Notamacropus eugenii: one gene and its partners. The main gene of each other region encodes a partner of the protein of the gene in region 2 in a complex. Links are inferred from orthologs where the notes say so. Each region holds a gene or a part of one and is shown on either strand. Other genes may lie near its edges.

Region 1 (7,852 bases), on a different chromosome or scaffold from region 2:
TCCAAATTTTCTTAGGAAAAAAAAAATGACTGTTATGCTCTACAGCCTATCTCTAAACAGATTCAAAAATTCCAAACCTCAACACAAGAGTTTTTATCCAAAGTTTTAAGTCATAGGCTTCAACTTAAAAGCTTGAAATTACCCTCAAGCACCTCCCATTTGATTGCTACTTTGCAAACAATTATTCTATTAGGAACACTATGGCTAATTCTGAATGGCAATTTATGCTTAACACAAGTCTACTTTCTCTTCGAATCTGATGTACATGTGGGCAATTCTGGGGACAAACTAATTCTAGGAAACTAAATGGGGAGGTGGTAGGGACCTCACAACTCATCTGTTACAACTTCATTTTACAGATGAGGAAATGGAATTTCCAGAGGGGTGAACTGAGGAGCCCAACACTCAAGGCACATTTCCACTACCAGAGGTGCTCTGATCCCAAACCCAATACTCTTTCCACATCACACTGCCTACCACGGGCACTCATTATCATTCTGTGCCTAAGAAACTTTCACCCTTCTGGGTTTGGGAAAGAGAATGGTGCTGAATCTGTTTAGGTCACTGAGTGATTAAGGAGAGAAGACACTTGCAAAACTTTCTTCAGGGGACCCATGAGATTGGCTTACATGATCTTACACATAACTTTTAAGTCATAATAAACAACTTACTTCTCTTGTGACTGCTTCCATAGCTCTTTTACCCAAGAAGGAAGCATAATAGGTTTCCCTAGATTTGCAGCCACTAAATATTTTTTGCTGCCGACTTCACCAGCAATAAGATGAGTTACTGATATACTTAAGTCTCTGCAAACTCGTCCGCCCATCATTTGTACATATTTATGAACTTCTTTCTGGAGTGAAAAAGGAAGAGGTAAGAAATATGTTAATCTATAATCATTGTTACCCGTTTTCTAAAGCATTCACTACATTATGTCCACAACAAATTCATATTCATTTAATCACTACAGCTGTGCTATGTTTATGATTTATTTATATATGAATATATAAATGCACAATGATGCAACAATTAAGATGAACAATTTACAAAGAAATACGAAGATCTTCAAATGGTTAATGGCTCTACTGAAAGACACTAAAAGCACAATTCACTAAGTTGTTTTTTTTTTCATTTAAAACCCTAACGCTAACCAACTTTATAGAGAGCACTTAGAACAACATAACAAGGAGAGAAACAATGTTCTGGAATGAGGACTCATAGTCATTTTGTTACAGTGACTGGGACAAGACCAGGGCATCTATGATCTGAAGAAGGATGAAGCAGGTATCAGAAATTATGGAGCATGAAACTGCAGTCCTGTGGCTAGAGCAGCTGAGGTTACAAATTGTCTGCATGATATTAATATGTAGGGCTTTGGTTATATTGCATTTATAACATTATTATGAAACATCATTGGTTAGGATGACTTGTGCTAGGTACAACTCAATTTGAAGATCACCTCTTATACTGCTAGGTCCTAACCCTCTACTATATCTGTTAACTGTGTCACACAAAATAGCCAAAGGAAAACATCTGCTCTCATGTGAAATAAAATTCGAAACATTTCACAGTACAGCTTAACCAACAAAAAAAATTCATATAAAACATACATATCGATGTTATCATCCTACTAAAACATCTTACCCTTGTTTCTTTGTCAAGGCTTGTACAAGAAATAGTTACGTCTGCCATAATCATATTATAGACTGGATACTCTGCTTTTGGAACACATCGTTGGTGCTGCATACAAAATATGACTACTTGTGGGCCGACAATTCTACAGCCAAGCTACAGAACAGAAAACACAAGGTTTATGTTGTTTGAGTAGCGAAACAAAGACGATTTTCCTTCACTTGTCTTCCCTTCTGCCAACCACTTCACCAGCCTTCGTGCCTATTTCTCCAAGGCCAGTTCTTCCAGCAGCGTGAGCATCCATGCACTAGGACACACCGCAGATCTGTCATTCCCGGGGATCCCGCGGCCCTCCCGTTTCCTCGTGCATCACACCCAGACGCGGTCACTTAACGCACCTTTTTGAGGTGCTCGAACACGGCGCCGCTGAAGGGGTCGCAGATGTACAGCGATCGGTCCTTCTCCGTCACGCTCAAGGCCTCCTCCTCGGCCACGGTCTGGAGATACTCTTCCGACTGGAATTCCTTCATAGACTGTTTGAAAGGCGAAGCGAGAGCGCACGTCAATCATTCAGAGGAAGGCCCCAAGCAGGCCGCGCTGCGCTTCGGGAACGTTTCGGCAGCGGACCAGAAATGCTGCCCAGGAGCACGGAGCCGGGCCGAGCCGGGCCGGGCCGAGCCGGAGCCGAACCGGGCCGAGCCGGAGCCGGAGCCGGAGCCGGGGCCGGGGCCCGCGCCGCTCACAAACCCGCTTCTACGCGGCGGAGACGTTGGGGTCCGCCCGCCCCCCCACGGCCCATCCACTCACCCCAAGCGCGGTAAAGAAACCCTCCGAGTTCCCGGGCGCCTTCACAAACTTCACGTAGTACGGCTCTCGGTCACTTTCCGACATGTCGACCTAAGACCAGAAGGCGCCGTCAGCACGGGGCCGCGGGCCCGGAGGCCGAGCGGCAGCAGGCCCGAGGGCGGGCCCGGAGCTCCGGAGGGGAGGGGGCGGGGCCGCCCCGGCCCCCGACCCGCAGCGCGGGCCCCGCAGGCGCCTCAGGGCATTCGGCCTCGAACCCGGCTCGGCTGCCCGGCTGACAGGACCCCCCCCCTTCCCCCCCCCCCCGCCGCCGCGGCCCGGGGCGGCCACACAACGGTCGCCCCCAACGCCGCCCGTCGCCCTCACTCACCGCCCCGGGGCTCCGACGTTCTGAGGCGGCGGCGGCTGCAGTCCGGGGCGAGCGTCGGGAGTGAGGCGGCCGACGCGGCGTGAGGAAAGGCCGAGCGCGCGCCGGGGGCGGGAGGGGGGGAGGGGAGGGGGAGGGGGTCGAGCGGGCTCGGAGCCGCACCACCAAGTTTCGCGCCAACCCGAGGGCTTCCCCTTCCGCCACGGGGCGGAAGTGACGCCGCGGGGCCGTGCGGAAGGGGAGGAGACACTTCCTGTCGCGGCTGGATCTAGTTGTCCATCCGTAGCCTTCCGCACCGGGCGGAAGCGATGCGATTGACAGCTTCCGGGAAGGGGAAAGGATCCGGCCTTGGCCTCTTTCTTGGGTTCCTCTTCCACCTTGGGCTTCTACTCCGGACCCTGGCCTAGCCCGGAGTGTAGGAAGCAGCCATGGTAGTCACCGAGTCTGGAAGGGCCGCGGAGGGCTTTGCAGAGACGCCGTCCAGGGATCCGGAGCCACCCCCGGCGACTTTCCCCTCTGGGCCGCTCTCCCTGTGGACCAAAGACCGGGCCTGGAGCTCGGCCGGAGCAGAGGCGGCGCCTGCTTCCGGGAGCTCCTCCCTCCTGCCCTCGGGCCCCCGGACTCCCGGGCCCCCGCTAATAAGTGGAACCCGGAACCGTGCGCCCTAGGGGGCACCCGTTAATATGTGTGAGTAGGAGCTGAAGGGGTGCATACCTACTCGGAATCCAGCAGCATGTGGGGAGAGGCCTGGAAATGATAGGAAAGTACCCCAGAGCAGCAGCGTGCAGATGCAGGCCGTAAACCAGACTTGTGACGGGCCCGGCTCCGAGGGCCCTCCATGACTCTCCACGGCCAGGTGAAACTTCTTTAGACTTGCAGAGGTTCTAGTTGCATCCAAGAAAAAAGAAGCAGTTAGAATTTACAGATGCTGGAAAGGGAAAGAAAGATGTATCATTTCTAACTACGCAAGCTTTACACAGAGCTAGTGTAAGATATTTAACCAAAGATACTGTAAGAAGAGGAAGGAGGATTGTATGGCAAAAGATGACAAAAGGAGAGTGACTTCAATTCGAGTTGTAAATCATTCAGCAAGTACTGAGACTGGTTTGGAAGTTACAAGTAGCAACGATGATCTTAAAACTGAGCCAGAAAATCTTTTTATCTCTACCCAGTGAATTGTCTTGAATTAAATTATTCAGTCTCAGCTAATTCCATACTCTAAGAAAAACTCCAGCAGATTTTCCTTGTAAAATTAAACGGTCATGCTGGAGCCAGATAAAAAGAAAGCTGAAGATTTACAATGAAGGAAACCTACAGTAGAGTGGGGGGCCAGGACTTAAAATTTAAAGAGGTGTGCCCTGGGTTTTAGCTGAGTGGTACAGGGGATAGAGCACAGGACTTGGAATCAAGAAGATGAATTACAGCCTTGCCTGAGACATTGGGTTGCAAGTCACTTAACCTCTGTGTACCCAAATTTCCTCCTCTGTAAAAGGGGGAAGAAAACAAGAGGATCTACTTAACAAGGGTTGTTGTGGATCTGATGTAACTACATGTAACATATGTAAAGCACTATATGAATGCTATTATTATCAGTAATATAGTTGAGAGCAAGCTTTAGAGTATAGCTTGCCCACCACACTTCCTTGACAAAGATCTAAAATACTCACCACACCTGATTCTGATCAAGAAAGCAAAGAAAGTCATACTCAGTCATTTTTCTAGTCCAAAGTAGCTCTGGGATACAGATTTCTGAATACTGAGGACAAAGTCTGCCATAAGCATGCATAAAGGAGCATTCCAACAGGTAGGGACTGAAAGAGGGTAACACAGGGCACTGGGGCAGGAAGCACTGGAGCAAAAAAGATGCCAGCAGATCCCTTAACAAACACTGGTTGAACTGTCATTCTCTACCCAGTTCAGGGTCACAGATGTAGGGTAGAGAGAAACAGTTGTGAGCATGGGCTCTAGTTTCTCTGAACCTCAGAGCTTCCCAGCAGGCCAGTAGTGCCTGAGTTAAGTGAAAGGCTACTGAAGATCTCAACCAAAAACAAGACAGTAAACCACAAACCTGAGTCAGGACTTTGCAGAGCTTAGATACAGAGGGCAGTGAACAGATCAACCCCTGGATCACACCACTATGGGGGCATTGCAAACTTGTAGGCCCCCAGCTGGAACTGTGAAATCAGCAGAAGGATGTAAGAGAACAGAAATTCATGCTTTCCCCACAAGTATGCAGAGTTCAACACTAATATAAGGTCTAGAGTAAAGAAGTAGGCTGGAAGAATGAGCAAACAAATAAAAAAAAGTCCAATTATGGTGACGGGTAAACTTGAGATACAAACACAGGAGAGAATGACTCCAGAACATTTAAAAGCAAAGCCTTAAAAGAAAATGCAGGTGGGCTACATGTCAAAATTCCTAGAAGAATTGAAGCAAATGTTAAGGAGCTCAAAATTTATTTTAAAAACCAAAAAGGGGGATTCTAGGAGGATGGCAGAATAACAGCAAATTACCTGGCTCTTCTAAATCTCTCTACAAACAATATAAAATAGTGCATCAGAGTGAACTTTTGAGTGGCAGAAATAATTTAAAGCCAGGTAAAGCAGTTATCTACCTAAGACAACTTCTGAGGACTGTGAGGAAATACCCCATGTCCTGGGGTCTTTGACCTCTTTGTAGTGCAGATGCCTCCAGGCAAGTATTGCTGAATCAACAAACAACCAGCTGTGGGGGCAACTGTGTTCTGGTAGTCATCCTCAGCTTCAGGAGCTTTCACCCCACAGACTGTAGTTGGGATTGGGCGTTGGGCCCAGGGAAGATTTCAGGGCCCTCTGCTGGTTCTGGATGCCAGGCACAGGTGCACTGATCTGATACATTTTAGGGCTGTGACTGTGGGGTGAGGAAGAATGAGTACATTCTGGGTGAGTGTGGTCACAGAGGGCAAGGGCCCAGTTGGCTGTGGGCACTTAATGGAATCCCTGATTTCGGTTTCAGTGCAGAGGGGTGAGCTGAAGCTGAGCTGCAAGAGGAACCACAGGGATTTCAGGGGCACCTGATTGTGGCTCAGGGGCTGAGAGGAATACCTGAAGTTAGGGCCCTGGATAGAGCTCAGAAAAAAACACAAAAACCCTGAAGCCTGAGATATTATCCCGTACACCTTGGGACTAGAACCCAGTTTTAACACAAAATTAACAGCAAGAAATAAGCCACTAACAAATATAAAATAATGTGTAAGTGAATGAGTGAGACAGACTCCTCAGACTGTAATTTTTCTCCCAGGGGTGAGGTAAGGCCTAAAGGCTCAAGGTTACAATATTTTTAGAATAGAATAGTTCCATATAAGGATATAAAGCTGTGTAGTGTATTAGGGTCTCAATGATTGGACAAAACTTACATAATTCCTCAATGTCTTCATTTCAAAAGGGATTGGTTAGATTTCGTGTCTAGAATGTAAGACCATATTCTCAGCTAATGAGGATAATGGTCAGTGGGGGGAGGAGGGACTTGCGTTAGGGTCTATATAAATCACTGTCCTGTTCTTTGTCTTGGGCTTTCCTACTCCTACAGGTGAGCCCCGCTTCTCCAGAATCGAATAAATCACTTTTCTGTCATCACTTTGAGAGGCCTCTGAGTAATTGATTTATGTAGGGACCTGAGCCATCCCACACAGTGAAAGAGAAAGAACCCAACCATACATAGCTGTTATGGTGATAGAGAATGTCTAGTTTCAAATTCAGAAGAAGATAGTGAAGTTAGAACAGCTACTTCTATTTCAAAGAAAAAAGCAAAATGGTCACAAGCCAAAAAACATTTTTGAAAGAGCTTAAAAAGGATTTTAAAAGTCAAATAAGAAGTTGAGGAAAAATTAGGGAAAAAATAAGAGTAATGCAAGAAAAGTATGAAAAGAAATTCAATCAATTGGAAAAAGAGATCCAAAACTTTACAGAAGAAAATAACTCCTTAAAAATTATAATTGGGCAAGGGGAAGCTAATGACTTCATAAGACACCAAGAAATAATAAAATCAAAAGAATGAAAAAATAGAAGAGAATGTAAAACATCTCATTTGAAAAACAACTGACCTAGAGAACAGATCAAAGAGAGGTAATATAAAATTATTGTACTGTCTGAAATTTATGATCAGAAATGAATCTAGATACTATACCTTAAGAGGCTAAGGAAAATTGCCCTGAAGTTTTAAAATGAGAGGGTAAAATAGAAACAAAAATTCCACCAATCATCACTGGAAAGATCCCAAGATGAAAACTCATAGGAATATCAGTTAAGTTATAAAACTCCCAGGTCAAGAAGAAAATACTACAAACAACTAGGAAAAAAGCTAAATATTGTGGAGCTACAGTCAGGATAACACAAGACTTAGCAGCAACTTCTAAATGACTGAAGGTAATGGAGCAATATATTCTGAAGAGCAGAGGAGCTGGGCTTACAACCAAGAATAACTTACCAGCAAAGCTGTGTTATCCTGAATGGAAAAAATAATAGACATTTAATGAACACAAGGGCTTTCAGGTATTTGTGAAGAAAAGATCAGAACTAAATAGAAAATGTAACCTACTAGATTCAGGAGAAAGATAAGAAGGTAAACATTAAAGACCAATTCTAAGGGACTTAATAAGGTCAAAATCTTTACCTTTTATATAGGAAAACATTAACTGGTACTCTAAGAATGTTATCATTTGAATAGAAAGATTTCAGAAAAACCTGGAAAGACTTACATGAAATGATGCAAAGTGAAGTAACCAGAACTAGGAGAATGTTGTACACAGTAACAGCAATACTATAGGATGATCAACTATGAATGACTTAGCTATTCTCAGCAATACAAAACACTTCAAAGCAACTCATGATGAAAAATGCTGTTCACTTCCAGAGGAAAAAAAAGATGCAGTATGAATGCAGATTGAAGCATACTGTCTTTCACTTTCTGTATTTTTTGTGAATTTTTTTCTCCACTTTGGTTCTGTGTCTTCTTTGACACCATAACTAATATGGTAATTATGTTTTGCACAATTGAACATACCTAACATAA
Region 2 (6,877 bases):
GCATTTACTAAGCACCCACTATCAGCATCCAAGTAATAAGCACCAGGGATACATGAAGAGTGAAACATTCCTTGAGCTCAAGCAGTTTACATTTCTGTGGGGAAGCCACATGTGCATAGAAGCATATACAAAATATATGAAAAATGAATACAAAGTTGTTTCAGGAGAAAATATACTAGCAGCCAGAGGATCAGGAAAAGTTTCATTTAGAAGATGGTCCTTCAGCTGAGTCTTGAAGGATACCAAAGATTCTAAGAGGTGGAGGTGAAGAAGGAGTGAACTGTAGGCAGGAGTCACAGCTAGTACAAAGGCCCAGAGATGAAACAGAGAGTTTATGTGCACCCTGAAACAAGTAGGCCAGCATGGCCAGATTGCACAGTATTTGAGGGAGAATAATGAATATGCTTTAGTCAGACTATGTACCTCAAACATACTATATACTTTACTGCATTCATACTGCTCTAGGAACTAGAAAGTGTTCCCCTTTTCACCTGCTAAACTCCAAATTCAACTCAGTGCCATCTTCTCTGTGAAGCATTTCCCAATCCCCTCACTGAACAACATATAGCAATGTTCTCTACTTCTCTAGCATACTTAAAATGTTATCTATGTGTGTCTTATTCCCTCAACAGGACTGTAAATTTCATAAGGGTCTGGATTATGTCTTATCTAAACTTCATCCCACAGTATGTACAATGCAGTGTTCTACACATAGTATGCACTTTCTACTATTAAGTTTCTATTGAATTTACCTTTACAGTACCATATAACATACCTAAATGAGAGGTGGGATGACATGGTAGGTCAGTAAGACCTGATTCAAGTCATGAGACCTCACACAGGTCATTAACTCAGTCACTTCCCCCAGGCAAATTTCTAAGTGTACTAGTTACAAAGCTGCGATTGGCATCTGAGGTGGGAGTTTCCAAATGAGAAATTCCCCAAGTGGACAAAATTATTAAATTCACAAATACCAAATTTAGTACTAAATTCAAAACTATTAAATTCATTAAAAAAAACTTTAAATATAATCTCATTCCAAGTTTTATTGGTAGCTTATAAAGATCTATTATATAGTCTGTTTTAGATAGAAAACATTCAGCACTTAAGACCACATTTCTATCTTCTCGGAGCATTATCCTCCTTTAGTAGAGTGGGAACTCAAGGAGCACTATCTATGTACTGTGACTTAGAGTTGTAGTGATGATGGTGATGGAAGAAAACATCTCTAAAGAACTCAGTAGATAGATGAGATAGAGGGAGGAAAAAAAGCAAATGATAAAGTACAAAGCTAACCATAGGTGATTACTCTTTTCCCCATAACTTTTTCATAGGTCAAATCACATCTATATATGTTGCTTGGTGGGTTATCTCTAAGACTAGAGGCCTATTAGGGCTTCTGAGAATAAATTGCATGGGTAAATCAGAACTCTACTCCCTGCCCCACCTCTCAGTCTCCTAATCAAAAAATAAACCACTAAACTAAGACTCAAAGAGTCATATCATAGGTTGTCAGTTTTCACGGAGCTTTCAGGATTATCCAAGGCTCCAATCCATCCTTTAAAGTCCAATTCATTGTTCATTTCTTTATGAAGACCCCTAGGATTCCATACCTATATCTTCATCTGTCTATCTTTTCAGGTACACATCCTTCTTTTGCTAATAAAGACACGGAAACAGAAGTCAGAGCCTGGACAAGAACCTGGATTTTCTGACTAGTTCATTAAACTTCAGATAGTCACAATATATTTTTTTTAAAAAGAGGTGTCTTTTGCTAGTGCTTCCTGAAATAATTAGTCAAAAAAAAAAAGGAAATCTTAAGGACTGATACCGCCGTAGGGATACAATTAGAGGTCTAGACACAACGGATCTATACTTGCCACAGCTCTTCATTTATTTGGCCACTCTTGCACCCATTCCATTATTTTTAGCCCATCCCCTTAACACCTGTTCCTCGAGGTATTGCCCTTCCCTTGCACTCTCATTCTGTCTTCCATCCTCTCCTTTCTCCTTTTCCTTTTCCTGATCCAGACCCACTGTTCCATCCCTCCTCCTGCCCTCCCCTCCCTTTCAAATCCTTTTTGACCAAGCCACAAGCCCAGCTCCCACTTTCACACTCCCCCAATCTCTAGCCCTACCCCAGGTCCAGACCTCTCCCAAGAATTCACTGCTAGCGTAGCCTCCCGCCCTGTCCTTTCCACCAGTCTATTAACAGTCGGCATCTCACTTTATAAGCCTACTCTCTTTTAGCCCCACCATTCTACCCCATCTCGGTCCCGGCTCCTCCCCCTCATCCGGCCCCGCCCCTGCGCTCGCCTCGATTAGACCCCGCCCCCTTCCTTCACCAATCCCATCCCCCAGCCATCCCCCCCCCCCACCCCCCCGTAGGGCTGTAACCCGGCCTTACGTTGAAGGCTGGGAGCTGCCCGTCGGGGGCGCGGTGAAGCTCGCGGATGAGCTCGATGGCCTTCTCGCAGAACATAGCTCCGCGCGCTCAGGCTGCGAGTCCCACAACAGCTTTCACTCGAGTCCTGCCTCCCAAACCCCCGCCGCCGCTGCCGCCGCCGCGCGGGACGTTCCTCCCTCCCTCCGACCCCGGCCAGGTGGCTTTGGCGCCAAACCCGCGCCGGCCAATCGGAGCGAAGAAGAGGGGGGTGGAGCCCCGGCGCTCCCGCCCTGCTTGCCTTGATTTCCTACGGGTTTTGGAGAAGGACAAGATTCCTCAGGTTTGAGAATTCGACCCCTATTCGTGGTGGTCTCCGTTCGCAGCTCTTTCTAGGCCGAGGATTCCGCCCCGGCGCCGGGACATCGCAGCCTGGGTTTGCGGCACTACGGGGAACCGTGCCCCCCGAATTTGTCCGGAGAAAAGGCAAGCAGGCGAAGGAAGGACTTAGGTCCCTCGGGCGCTCTCTCTCGCCTGTGAGAGGCAAGTCATTGATGCCATTTTGTTGTATCCTCCTCCCGAACCCCGGCCCACCCGGGCTGTCGAACGTGGCCCGGCCGGCCCATTGACAAAAAGCGTGGGAATTCCACCTCCCGCTTCTTTGTGACGTCACGGAGAGCGTTGTGCTTCGCGTGGTTTGTCCGCGCTGCGTACGTTCCATGAGTGACCGACCCACTCTGCGGCGTGACCCAGCCATTTCATCCACTATAGTGGACCTCCTAATGCACAGATTTGGATAAATGTATGGTTAGTGGGCAATGATTTTGTCCATTTTCATTCATTTAGTTTTTAGAGATATATCTCAAGATTTCCATATTTAGCTGTTGGACGTGTAGTTTAAGTGTCAAGTTTTTGCTTTTTTTTTTTAAAGCAAAATACTTTTTACCCTAGAGGCATCAATTTTTAAGAATATTCATATTTTAAAAATAGCTCCTCTCCCTACAGTTAAAAAAAAAACCATTTTAAAAATGTTAGAACTGAGAGGGATCTTACAGTGTTCTAGTCCAACCTCCTTCATTTTACAGATGAAGAAACTGAGGGCTGTCATACAGATAAGTTCAGTGATATGACCAGTGTTCCACAGGGAATGGGTTAGTAGACCTAGGATTTGATTCCAAATATTGCCACTTCACCAGGCTGTGTATCTTGTGCTGGTCATTAAAGAAAAAAGAGGCCTAGAGAGAAAGTGATTTGTCTTTCCTAGAATGCACCATTTGCTAGTGCCAGATCTAGGATTAGAATTTGTTTCCTGCCTTGGGATCTTGGAATCTAGAGGTGAAAGGAATCTTAAGAGGTTATCTAGTTCATTTTACATAGGAAACAACTAGGTGAAGTGACTTGCCCAATGCAACACAGCTAGCAAATGAGAGTTGGCATTGAAATCCATAGCTTCTTACTACAAATCAAAGTGAAGTCATCAGGCATTTAAGGGTCTTTGTGCCAGGCACTGTGTTAAGCATTGAATATACAAAATCAAAAACATTCCTGCCCAGTCTAATGGACTGATTACCTAACTTTGAGCTATTTCTTCTATTGGTTACATGGAAGAGAATATGTTCCAGCTAGACATCAGTTTGGGGCATCTAAGTGGAACGGAATAGAGTGCTGGACTTGGAGTCAAGGCTTATCTTCCTGAGTTCAAATTTGGCCTCAGACACTAGCTGTGTGACCCTGGGCAAATCACTTAATCTTCAGTTTCCTCATCTGTAAAATGAGTTGGAGAAGGAAATGGCAAACGACTCCAGTATCTTTGCCAAGAAAATCTCAAGTGGGGTGACAAAAGAGTCGAACATTACTAAACAACAGACACCAATTCACTTGCGTCAAAGATAAGTTTTACATAATTGTTATTTGGGAATTTTCTTGTTTAGGGAATTTGTAGAGAGTCTTGGAACTAGGATTAGGATCTGGCCTGGCCATTTTGTTTCTTTGATCCTCACTCTCCTTTTCTGTAAAATGGAAGGATCTATAGGTCCCCTTCTGCCTCTTAACATTCAAACAGTCAGAATCAAAATCCTATTTAATGTATCCTAGGAACAGAATCGTTGATTGAAGTTATTTAGGGAACTCTTCTGTGTCTTAGTAGATAAAATCCTAGAGTTGCCTATGGCAAATGGAAGTTAAATGACTAGCCCAGAGTGTCACCACTAGTGTTAGAGACTGATTTTAAACCTAGTTCTTCCTAGCTTCAAGCCTAGCATTTTATCCATTAGACCATATTTACTTTAATGCACCTGCTGTGTTCACACTATACAGGACTGTTTGTTTTTGTTTTTTAAGTATTGAGGTTTTATTAGGTATATCTACTGAGCTGGAAAGGTTTTAAGTTTGTCCAATGGATGGACATTTCCAAAGGCCAAAGAAGGAAGGCTCCTTATCAAAGGGCCAACACCCAGGTGATGAATGTTTTGGACCACAGCAATAGGCATGAAGGAATTATAATCTTTTCTATCTGTTCCTTATTAGGGGCTAAATAGCCACCTCAGTGAAATCAATAATGTTTTGAAATACAGTATTCAATTACACTAAATGTACTCATGCTAGCCCCAATTGGATACTTTGTTGCTATGGTTTTGAATTACAGTAGCTACAAGTATAGATACTGTATAAATTTAATTTGAGGCTTAATAGTTTGAGAGACTTATTTTGGAAGCAAAAAACTTAAAAATCTTGTCCTTAAAACTAATAAGGACAAGCCTCCACTAGCCTCATAGCACCTTTGCCAGGTATCCACCTTCATAATAAGATGAATGGCCAGTTTGATGATATCGATCTGAGATCTAAGAGTTTTTAATTATGTTGCTTTCTTTTCAGAAGTATATATGAGTTAGAATATAACTTTTTCTTGCGATTTAGTTGCATTTAATTGCAGCATTTCCAATCTCCATTGTACTACCTTAAGGAATTTACCATTTGAATTTTATAATATGCTTTTTTAAAACTATATTAAAACATATTTGTATTTGTGACATTTAGCAAAATTATCAGTAAATTTTTAAATTTCAAAATACTAGAATGATAATTTAAAAAGTCAGAGCTATTGAGTTTCTGGATATTTTTCTAGTAGATTTTAAATAGTCATTTCCCCTTGCTATTTAAAATATTTTCAAGTGGAAACAAACTTTGAAATGATTAATATAGAAAAGGTAATTGAATGTATCATTTGTTTATTTTTCACCAGTCAAATGATACACTAATAATTCTTAAACATAGTCACAATACTAAATTTGTGACATCATCAAAAATTTTAGGTAGGTAAGAATTATCAGACATGTTGGGATTGAACATAGACTTAATAATCATATATGACTTAAAGATTAAACACACTTTGAAATTTGATCAACAAGTATTAGGAAGCAACATCCTGGGGATAGAAAGATGAAAAACCATGTCTTCTATGAACTTACAATTTTGTTACATAGTCATTATGAGCTCTAAACTGCTTTCCTCACAAAAGTCCCGTGAAATAAAGTATTTTTATTCCCATTTTTACCAAAGAGGAACCTGAGACTTATAGAGGTTAAATGTTTACTCCATGGTTACAGAGGCAGTAAATGGTACAACTGGGAACTGAACCCAAGTCTTCTGACTCCAAGTCATGTGTTTGGTTTTTTTTCCCCAGTAGCCATCGGTTCTTATGGCATTGTGAAATCAAGAGGTCTAATACAAATAGATACACCTCAAATAATAGGCCTATAGAAAATAGTTAATAAATGAAAATTAATTAGATATAGTTTTACTAAATGCTTGAAGCACTAGGAAATCAGTACAGTACAGTGAAAAGTGTCCTTGATTTGGATTCAGAGGACCTGGTTTTACATCCTCTTTTCTCTGTTTGCTACTCCATGTGTGACTTTGGGTAAGTCACTTAAGCTCTCTGGGTCTCAGTTTCTGTAGCAATAAAATGAGTGAATTAAACCACATAATCTCTAAGGTCCCTTCTAGTCCAAATCTCTAATATCTAGGTTGGTGAAGTATTGATAGTTTGAATACAATCATGTAAAATAAAAATCTCAAAGCACACTTCTCTAAATAAAGTTCTTGTGGGACAATGTAAAAGATTATTGAATGAAACTTGATTTAGCATTCTATATAGTAGGTGCTTAATAGTCATTTGGTGAATGAATGAATAACATTTTGTTCATAGGTTTATGGCCATAGACTAGGATACTTAAAGTTGTCTATCGTAGACCTCAGGTAGTTTTTGTATTTAATGTTCTAAATAGACTGCTTTCTGAAGAAAAACAATTAGAAATAGGGGCAGGAAGATGCATAGCAAACAACTGGTAGTCATCAACTAAAGGAGAGGTAAAGTTTGTATCTCTCTGAAACACTGGCCTGGGAACTCAGTGTTGTTATCTTTGAATAGGACAGGATCTGTTTCCAATACCAATATTCCAATAACAAATGGTTAACATTAAGAATTATTTGCAT
Region 3 (6,855 bases), on a different chromosome or scaffold from region 2:
TGAAGAATAAATATCTGACAATGAAATAAGTAAATAGAGAGCTATATTGTTGTCTTGCTCATCAAAGATCACTTATTCAAGCTCCTGGCTACCCAAAATGTGTGTCAGACTCTGAAGAGAATTAAATAGACCTGGTCTCTGATCTATGGAAGTTGACAGTTTACACATAGCAGAATGATGTCATGGGAAGAGCCAGTAGAACTGAGTTTCAGCACTAGGGCCTTCCACTTAATAACTGGGTGACTTAATTTCTTGGAGGTTATTTACATTTGGATTTGTTCATTTTCTATTTATGCTACATATATTTAATAGGTAATTGTCTCCCCTGTTAGAGTATAGAGGTAGGTAGAGTGTGCAGTGGATAGAGCGCTGGGCTTGAAGTCAAGAAGACCTAAGTCCAAAGCCTGTTTTGGACACTTAGTAGATGTACAACCCTGGACAAGTCACTCAACCTCTGTCTGCCTCAGTTTCCTCACTTCATCTATCAAATGGGGATAATAATAGTACCTGCCTCCTAGGGTTGTTGTGAGGATAAAATGAGACAATAGTTATAAAGTGCTGTGCAAACCTTAAAGGGCTATATAAATTATATTTGTTGTTATTAATATAATCTCATTTCAAATGGGTTTTATCCTTTCAGCCCTAGCACATAGAATAAATTTGATAAATTTAATTTGATAAATTTGATAAATTAATATTGATTGATTGTTGGTTGATAGATCGGAGGTGATAAGGGCCTGAATTAGGATGATGAGAGATGTGAATGCAGAAATTATAAAATTTGACAATAGATTGAACAAGTGGGATTAGTAAGTGTATTGAGCTGCAAGAGGAAGGAAAAGGCTATAAGCAGAAATCTGACAGAAGTTTTCTGATAAAAAAAAAAAATGTGTGTGCAGACAATGTAATGACCAGTCATGACTTTAAAAGACTTCTTGGCAGAGAGTTGATGGACTATACCTGTGGAGTAAGACATAAATTTCCAGACTTGGCCATTGTTTTGATGCATTACAAGGAAGGGTTTCTATTTGAAGAGAGCTGGCCAGTAGGGACAGTGATTTGGGAGGGGAAAGTACAAAGATGGATCGATGAAACACTACCAAATACACAGAGGATACAAAGTTAAACTTTACAAAGTAGATGGTCGAAAGGGGCAAAGATAGAAACAAAGAAACTTAAAGATTAGGTCCTTTCAGCTCCCAAGGACAGAATTCCACACCTTGGAAGGGATTTAGTCTTGTCTTTCAGTAGCTAAATAGTATAGAAAACACCCACAGAATCAGCCCCTGGGCAAAAACTGTCTTAATATCTTTGATCCCAGACCCTCATTCTACATAAGATCCAACAGTGATCTGGGAAATGTAACTGGATGGGCTCTATAAATTACATTGGGTCTGAACCAGTGAGAATTCTCTGAATAGAGGGAAGTTTCATCTCAATCAACTCCTACCTGTGAAGCAACAAAGTTTACTGTTTATTGACTCCTCAGTTTATTGACTGACTAGTCAACAAACATTTAAGCACTTACTGCAAGCCAGACATTGTGTTAAGTGCATAGGACAGCCCTCAAGGAGCTCAACATCTAATGGAGAAAGCCAACGCATAAAAAGAAGCTGTAGCGTGAGGGTGTGGGGCGAGTGAAGATTTTGGGGCAGGAGAAATGCAAAATCCTGTAGAGTGTAAAAGATGAAGAGATGAATGTCCTGGGTGGAGGATCTGGGAGGAGCTCACCACTGCCCACTCTCTTCAGTCAGAGAGAAGAAGAGGTCCAGAGGCTGGAGGAGTATTGAGGAGGTGAGTACCAAATCTCCACGCAGAGGCCCAGGGAAAGCAGAATGAGAGACTTGCCTTTGGAACTCTCATGTTGTGATACGTAACCATATTGCTTCACAGTGCTGGGCCTCAGTTATAATGATGAGCGAAGTTCAGACCAAGTCTCTCTGCCCTTTCTGAAAGAGCTATGTAATACGCCAGTTGAAAAGAGCACAGTAGTACCCAGCCAAACTTGAGACTGAAAGGGGTGGATTGTGGTGCCCATCCAAGAGGAAGCAAAGGAGTGGAGAAGATTCATCATCTTCAAACCTAAGTAACCTGCCTGGCTCCACCCAGCAGCACCTAAACCCATCCAGGAAAGACACTATATTTTTAAAGGACCAAGGTGAGATAGCATGAAGAAGTAGCCAGGTCTAGCAGCAGAGTGGCCTATGTTATCCTGCACCAATGCCCCTTCCCACCCTGAACATCATGTTCCAGAGTCATGAGTTGCCTGGATTTCATGTGTTGCCTTTACATGTGTCCCACTACCATTATACTCCAAGCTTGTTCCCACCTCTTTCCACCACCACTCCTGGATTCTGTGTATACTTATATAAGAGTATGTCTCCGGTAAAGGGGGAAAAGTACCTTTTCTAAGATCTAATGGAGATACTAGCCGATTGTTAATGGAAAGCACACTAGTTGGGGGATCAAGAACTTCAGTGTTAGTTACCCCTAGAGTAATTCCTAGAACTCAAGGTAGAATTCACCACTCTGGGGCCTCAACTTGCCAGTGCAAGTGCAAGTTATGAATGTGATCTCACAGGGGATGCTACTATACCCAGAAGAAAGAAGAAGGATATTGGGAAGTGGCACAGGGCAGTTTTGTTACTATGATGTTAAATTTAACATACACTCTTTTAAAAAGCAGGAGAAAGGGACAAGAAGGGAAGGATAAAAGTAGGAAAGTCATTCAGACATGATGTACTTCAGGCCATGGGCAGGAAGAACTATGAGAGTCAATGATGTTCAGTTGGAGAGGCCAGCCTTGGACTTGGCATAACCTGGTTTTGCCAAACTTTCTGCTTCTCCCCCTCCTCAATATGTAGAATCCTACATACCAGGGTAAGCATGGATTTCATAGGGAAGACATGGGTTCTTGTTCAAAAATGTCTTATTGGTTTCCTATCTTGAAGTCACAGGCATCGCGATGCAAGGCACAGGCTACCTATGCTATGAGAGGCCCCAGTTATACAAGGATGAAGGATGGACACTTCTAGAAAAGAGCGGGAAGGAGCAGAGGCAGACTACTGCCAGTAAGCCCTTTGCATCTGAGATAAGCCACCAAAACCACAGAAGACTACACCCACTCAAGTTGAAAAAAAGAAGTCGATAACAAGTATAGTTAATCAAAACCAAACACCGCTTGGCCAGTTCCAAAAACATATATCTCATTCTGCATCTTGGACTAGCACCTCTCCGTACTCAGGTGGCTAGCATGCTTTGCTATTGGTATTCTGGAATCATGGTTGCTGATTTCATTGTCTCTTTCTTCCCAGAAGCTCCATTTAAAGAGGGTGCCCAGGCCAACCATCTCTTCATTTCTCAAGAAGCTGCAATCTGGACTCCTCCATGATGCTTCCAGACCTGGTACCTTTCACACACATACGCTGAATCTTGTTCGGCGGCAGAATAATAACTTGAGTCTGTTAGAGGCATTTTAGGGGCGCCGCTCCCGACAGTCCCAGGTTCAAATCCACCCCAAGGCTGCAAGCTCCGGCAAGCTTCTTCAGCTCCTGGGGCCTCGGTTTCCTTATGTGTGAAATGAGGGGGATGACCTGGATAGGTTCCTTCCAGGTTTAGAATTATGATCAATCAGTAAACATATGTAAAACTTCCACACTCGGCAAAGAACCCAGGCAGAGGCACCGGGTAAACTCCCAGAAAGTTTGGAGCCCCGGGGGCGTAGGGGAGAAGAGGCCCCGCCCACAAGCATTTGGCGCGAAAAGCTTCGCCGAGTGGGCGGGGCTCTGAAGGAAACAACTCCTCATTGGCTAGGTTTGGCGCGAAAATCCGGGCCTGCGGGCCAGCGATTGGCTGAGACAGTCTCGTCCGGAGAGCCGGCAGGGAAGACGCCTTTTCTCTCCCGGCCGGGCGAAATTGCGCTTGGCTGATTTGGGGAGGCTCGAGCACCGGCGACCTAGACTGACCGCGGCCATGGACCTAGTGGCAGCTGCGGAGACGGGGGCGGGGACCCCGCACGTGGAGGTCCGCGATGAGGTGGCGGAGAAGTGCCAGAAGCTGTTCCTGGATTTCCTGGAAGAGTGAGTGGGGGGCCTGGCGGAGGGGGAGGGGACTCCCACTGCCTTCGTAACCCGTGCTTGTGGTCCGGGCCCTCCGCCCCGCGGCCCGCGGCCTGGGGTCCGGATCCCCCCGCCCCGCCCCAGGGGGGGCACGCAGGCTGTCGCATCCCCCCTAGCCCATTTTGCTCCGTTACCCTTCCGCTCGTACCCCGAGCCCCTCCCCCGGCAGTGGTTGGGACACTCGGTACCTTGAGGTAAAGCCCCTCGTCCCCGGGCCGGCCCCGTGACCCCAAGACTCCTGGGTCTCTCCCGGTGCCCATCCCCCGCGCACTGTCCTGCCCTCGCTCCTGCCGGGGCACACCACGTTAAGAGCCGAATGTCGGCCGGGCTTGCCCGGGTGGGGAAGACTAGTTCCAGAAGAGGTTTCCGGAGTTTTATGTGGGTTTTTTTGCGTGTCGTGTTCCCCGCGGCCGCTAGGTGGCGCCGTGGGACCGAGTCCAAGTCCTGCCTAGGACTGCCTAGGCCGGCCTCGCGGTCTGGTGGGGCTGGTAACAGTATCCAGCCCTGCGTGCGGAGAGGAGCGGCGGTGAGGGCTGTGAGGGGCGGTCCGCGAGGCCAGGGCCCAGCGCTTGACCTTTCTTTGTCAGCCCCGGTCCCCCGGAGCGTGACTGCAGGGCGGGGACTTGGAAGTACGGACCAGGGCCTCCTCCCACTGTGCTGGCCTGGGGCTAATGACCTGGAGGTACTTTGCGCCCAGCCTTGGCGGGGTGATCTTCTCTGACAGTTGTATCATGTTTTGTCCCTGATGCTCTCATCCCAGGCCTGGAGGTTGCATCTTTGTATCTTCTTCTCTGCAACAAAGAGCCCTGGGCTTGAAGTGGGAGCATTGACGTTCTAAAATGGAAATGATACATTGAAACCTGTGAAAGCCATTTGTAAACTATGAAGCACCCACACTTACGTGTTGCTATTGGGTCAACAGAACCCGTATGTTCAGTACAAGTGATTACTCCCTCCATTATTCAATCCAATGTATTCTGTTTTGTAGAACAGAGAGCAAAAATACATAAATAAAAAAATAACCGTAAATTCTTGTAACCTTTCTGCTTTGTCTTATAAGGCTGGAAAAATTTTTATTCATCTTTGTGTATGTAGGCATCTTGTGAATCTCCCGTTTCCCTTCCCTGCTAAAAGTTGTCAAGGATGCTTTTGATAGTGAATATGTTTATTTCTACCTTGGTTCTAGGACCAGCATTTAAAATATCCTTTATATTTGTGAAAATCAGCTTAGGTAAGCCCCCTTGAGTTTCTGGGTCTTTCCCCTGATCTTAAGAAGTCTTCCATCTTCGTATAATAATATCTGGTACTCCAATTTTTTTTCTCTCCCCTAGCCATTTGGCTTCTGAGCTTCACCTTCTTCCTCCTTAAAATGGGAATAATAATGCTCACGCTACTTAATTTCCAGGACTTGTGAAGAAGGCAATTTTTAGACTTTAGGACACTACACACGTGTGCACCATATGTGTGTGTATCTATGCCCACCTATTTAATTTGATCTGGTCTTGATGTTTCTTACAGATTCCAGAGCAGTGATGGAGAAGTAAAATACTTGCAGCTGGCAGAAGAGTTGATTCGTCCTGAGAGAAACACATTAGTTGTCAGTTTTTTGGACCTGGAGGAATTTAATCAGCAGCTTTCCACCACTATTCAAGAGGAGTTCTACAGGTATGATGTCTTATTAAAAAAAAAAAACCAAAACAGTTTGATTGAGGACAGAAGCCAGAAAAACAGCTGGTTTCTTAGACTTATGGACCTATAAAATGTCAGAGCCAGATGGGGCCTTTGAAGTCAGTCCAAACTCTTCACTTTACAGAGAGGTCTTGGTCAGAAGGTATTCTATTAGTAAGTCACTTATCACTGGAGACATACTTTTCATGAGCTACTAAAAAGTAGGAAGCCCCTAAGAGTAATGCACTGATGCAAACATATCTCACACCCATGTGCCCATGAGTTTTGTCATACTTAGAATCACTCTGTGGTCTACCGAAGTTCCTGTCTTGTTTACAGTTGTTCAAATTTTATATCAGAGAGTTTGTTTCATTTTAGGTATTGAACAGTAACGTAGTATTTACTTTGTCCCCTCACAAAGGTCCCTAGAGGAAAAGAACTGTATATGGGATAGTGTGTGTGTGTGTGTGTGTGTGTGTGTGTGTGTGTGTGTGTGTTCGTGTTCGTGTTCGTGTTCTAAGGGGCCCTCAGGATTTCTTTTCTGTCTACAGAATAAATCAGTTTAAAATGAACATCCAGGGCAACCTTGAAGGAGAAAAGAAGTCACAAAAGGGAAGTGAGTGGGGGTAAAGTCCCCTGCTATTAGTAATGGGGAAGCAACCTTCCCAACACCTAGGCAGCTAGGAGGTACAATGGATAATGTTGGACTTGGGAGTTAGGAACGCGTTAGCTCGGATCATGCCTCAGAGCTTTGCTGGCTATGTGGCCCTGGGCAAATCCTTTAACCTCTAAGCCTCTGTTTCTTTATCTGTAAAATGGGGATAATAATAGCATCTAGCTGTGAGGAAGTCAGGAGGCCTGAGATGAGGAAGGAGAGCCTTCATTCCACTACAAACACAGACTAATAATGGCTAACCCATACATAGCATCTACTGTGTGTCAGGTATTCTGCTGAGTGCCTTACAGTTATATCATTTGCAAAACTTGAAAGTATTATAAGAATCCTAGCTAAATGGTTCTAACCTGGGCTCCATGAACTTTTTTTCCTTAATATTTTGATAACTGTATT

The links.
Region 1: the proteins of GINS1 (region 2) and TOPBP1 are in contact, whole or in part, in a cryo-EM structure (PDB 8OK2), measured with the Homo sapiens proteins. The link is inferred for Notamacropus eugenii from reciprocal best matches to the Homo sapiens genes GINS1 and TOPBP1. Residues at the interface, in NP_066545.3 of Homo sapiens: Asn43, Gln44, Val47, Asn48, Lys51, His66, Arg91, Tyr94, Gly95, Ser96, Asn100, Arg103, Phe104, Arg119, Ala122, Met125, Glu132, Gly133, Leu134, Asp135, Thr137, Gln138, Asp139; in NP_008958.2 of Homo sapiens: Leu490, Leu491, Ser492, Gln493, Tyr494, Glu495, Asn496, Leu586, Ser587, Arg588, Thr589, Val590, Val596, Cys601, Glu602, Val603, Ala605, Thr606, Val607, Gly608, Val610, Lys629, Pro636, Val637, Pro638, Val639, Met640, Thr641, Arg726.
Region 3: GINS1 (region 2) and MCM6 share a complex: the UniProt entries of both Homo sapiens proteins name them as parts of the CMG helicase complex. The link is inferred for Notamacropus eugenii from reciprocal best matches to the Homo sapiens genes GINS1 and MCM6.

Annotation. Positions count from the first base shown.
Region 1 is NC_092874.1:41,878,106-41,885,957, forward strand, and holds the start of TOPBP1 (DNA topoisomerase 2-binding protein 1), read right to left. Parts: upstream 3,020-7,852; 5' UTR 2,807-3,019; intron 2,530-2,806; 5' UTR 2,524-2,529; coding exon 2,440-2,523; intron 2,166-2,439; coding exon 2,031-2,165; intron 1,789-2,030; coding exon 1,645-1,788; intron 854-1,644; coding exon 672-853; intron 1-671. UniProt on the Homo sapiens protein: Scaffold protein that acts as a key protein-protein adapter in DNA replication and DNA repair. Composed of multiple BRCT domains, which specifically recognize and bind phosphorylated proteins, bringing proteins together into functional combinations.
Region 2 is NC_092872.1:602,536,631-602,543,507, reverse strand, and holds the start of GINS1 (DNA replication complex GINS protein PSF1), read right to left. Parts: upstream 3,014-6,877; 5' UTR 2,483-3,013; coding exon 2,408-2,482; intron 1-2,407. UniProt on the Homo sapiens protein: Required for correct functioning of the GINS complex, a complex that plays an essential role in the initiation of DNA replication, and progression of DNA replication forks.
Region 3 is NC_092876.1:298,080,249-298,087,103, forward strand, and holds the start of MCM6 (DNA replication licensing factor MCM6), read left to right. Parts: upstream 1-3,836; 5' UTR 3,837-3,972; coding exon 3,973-4,079; intron 4,080-4,774; exon of another isoform or gene 4,775-4,789; coding exon of another isoform or gene 4,790-4,800; intron 4,801-5,636; coding exon 5,637-5,783; intron 5,784-6,855. UniProt on the Homo sapiens protein: Acts as a component of the MCM2-7 complex (MCM complex) which is the replicative helicase essential for 'once per cell cycle' DNA replication initiation and elongation in eukaryotic cells.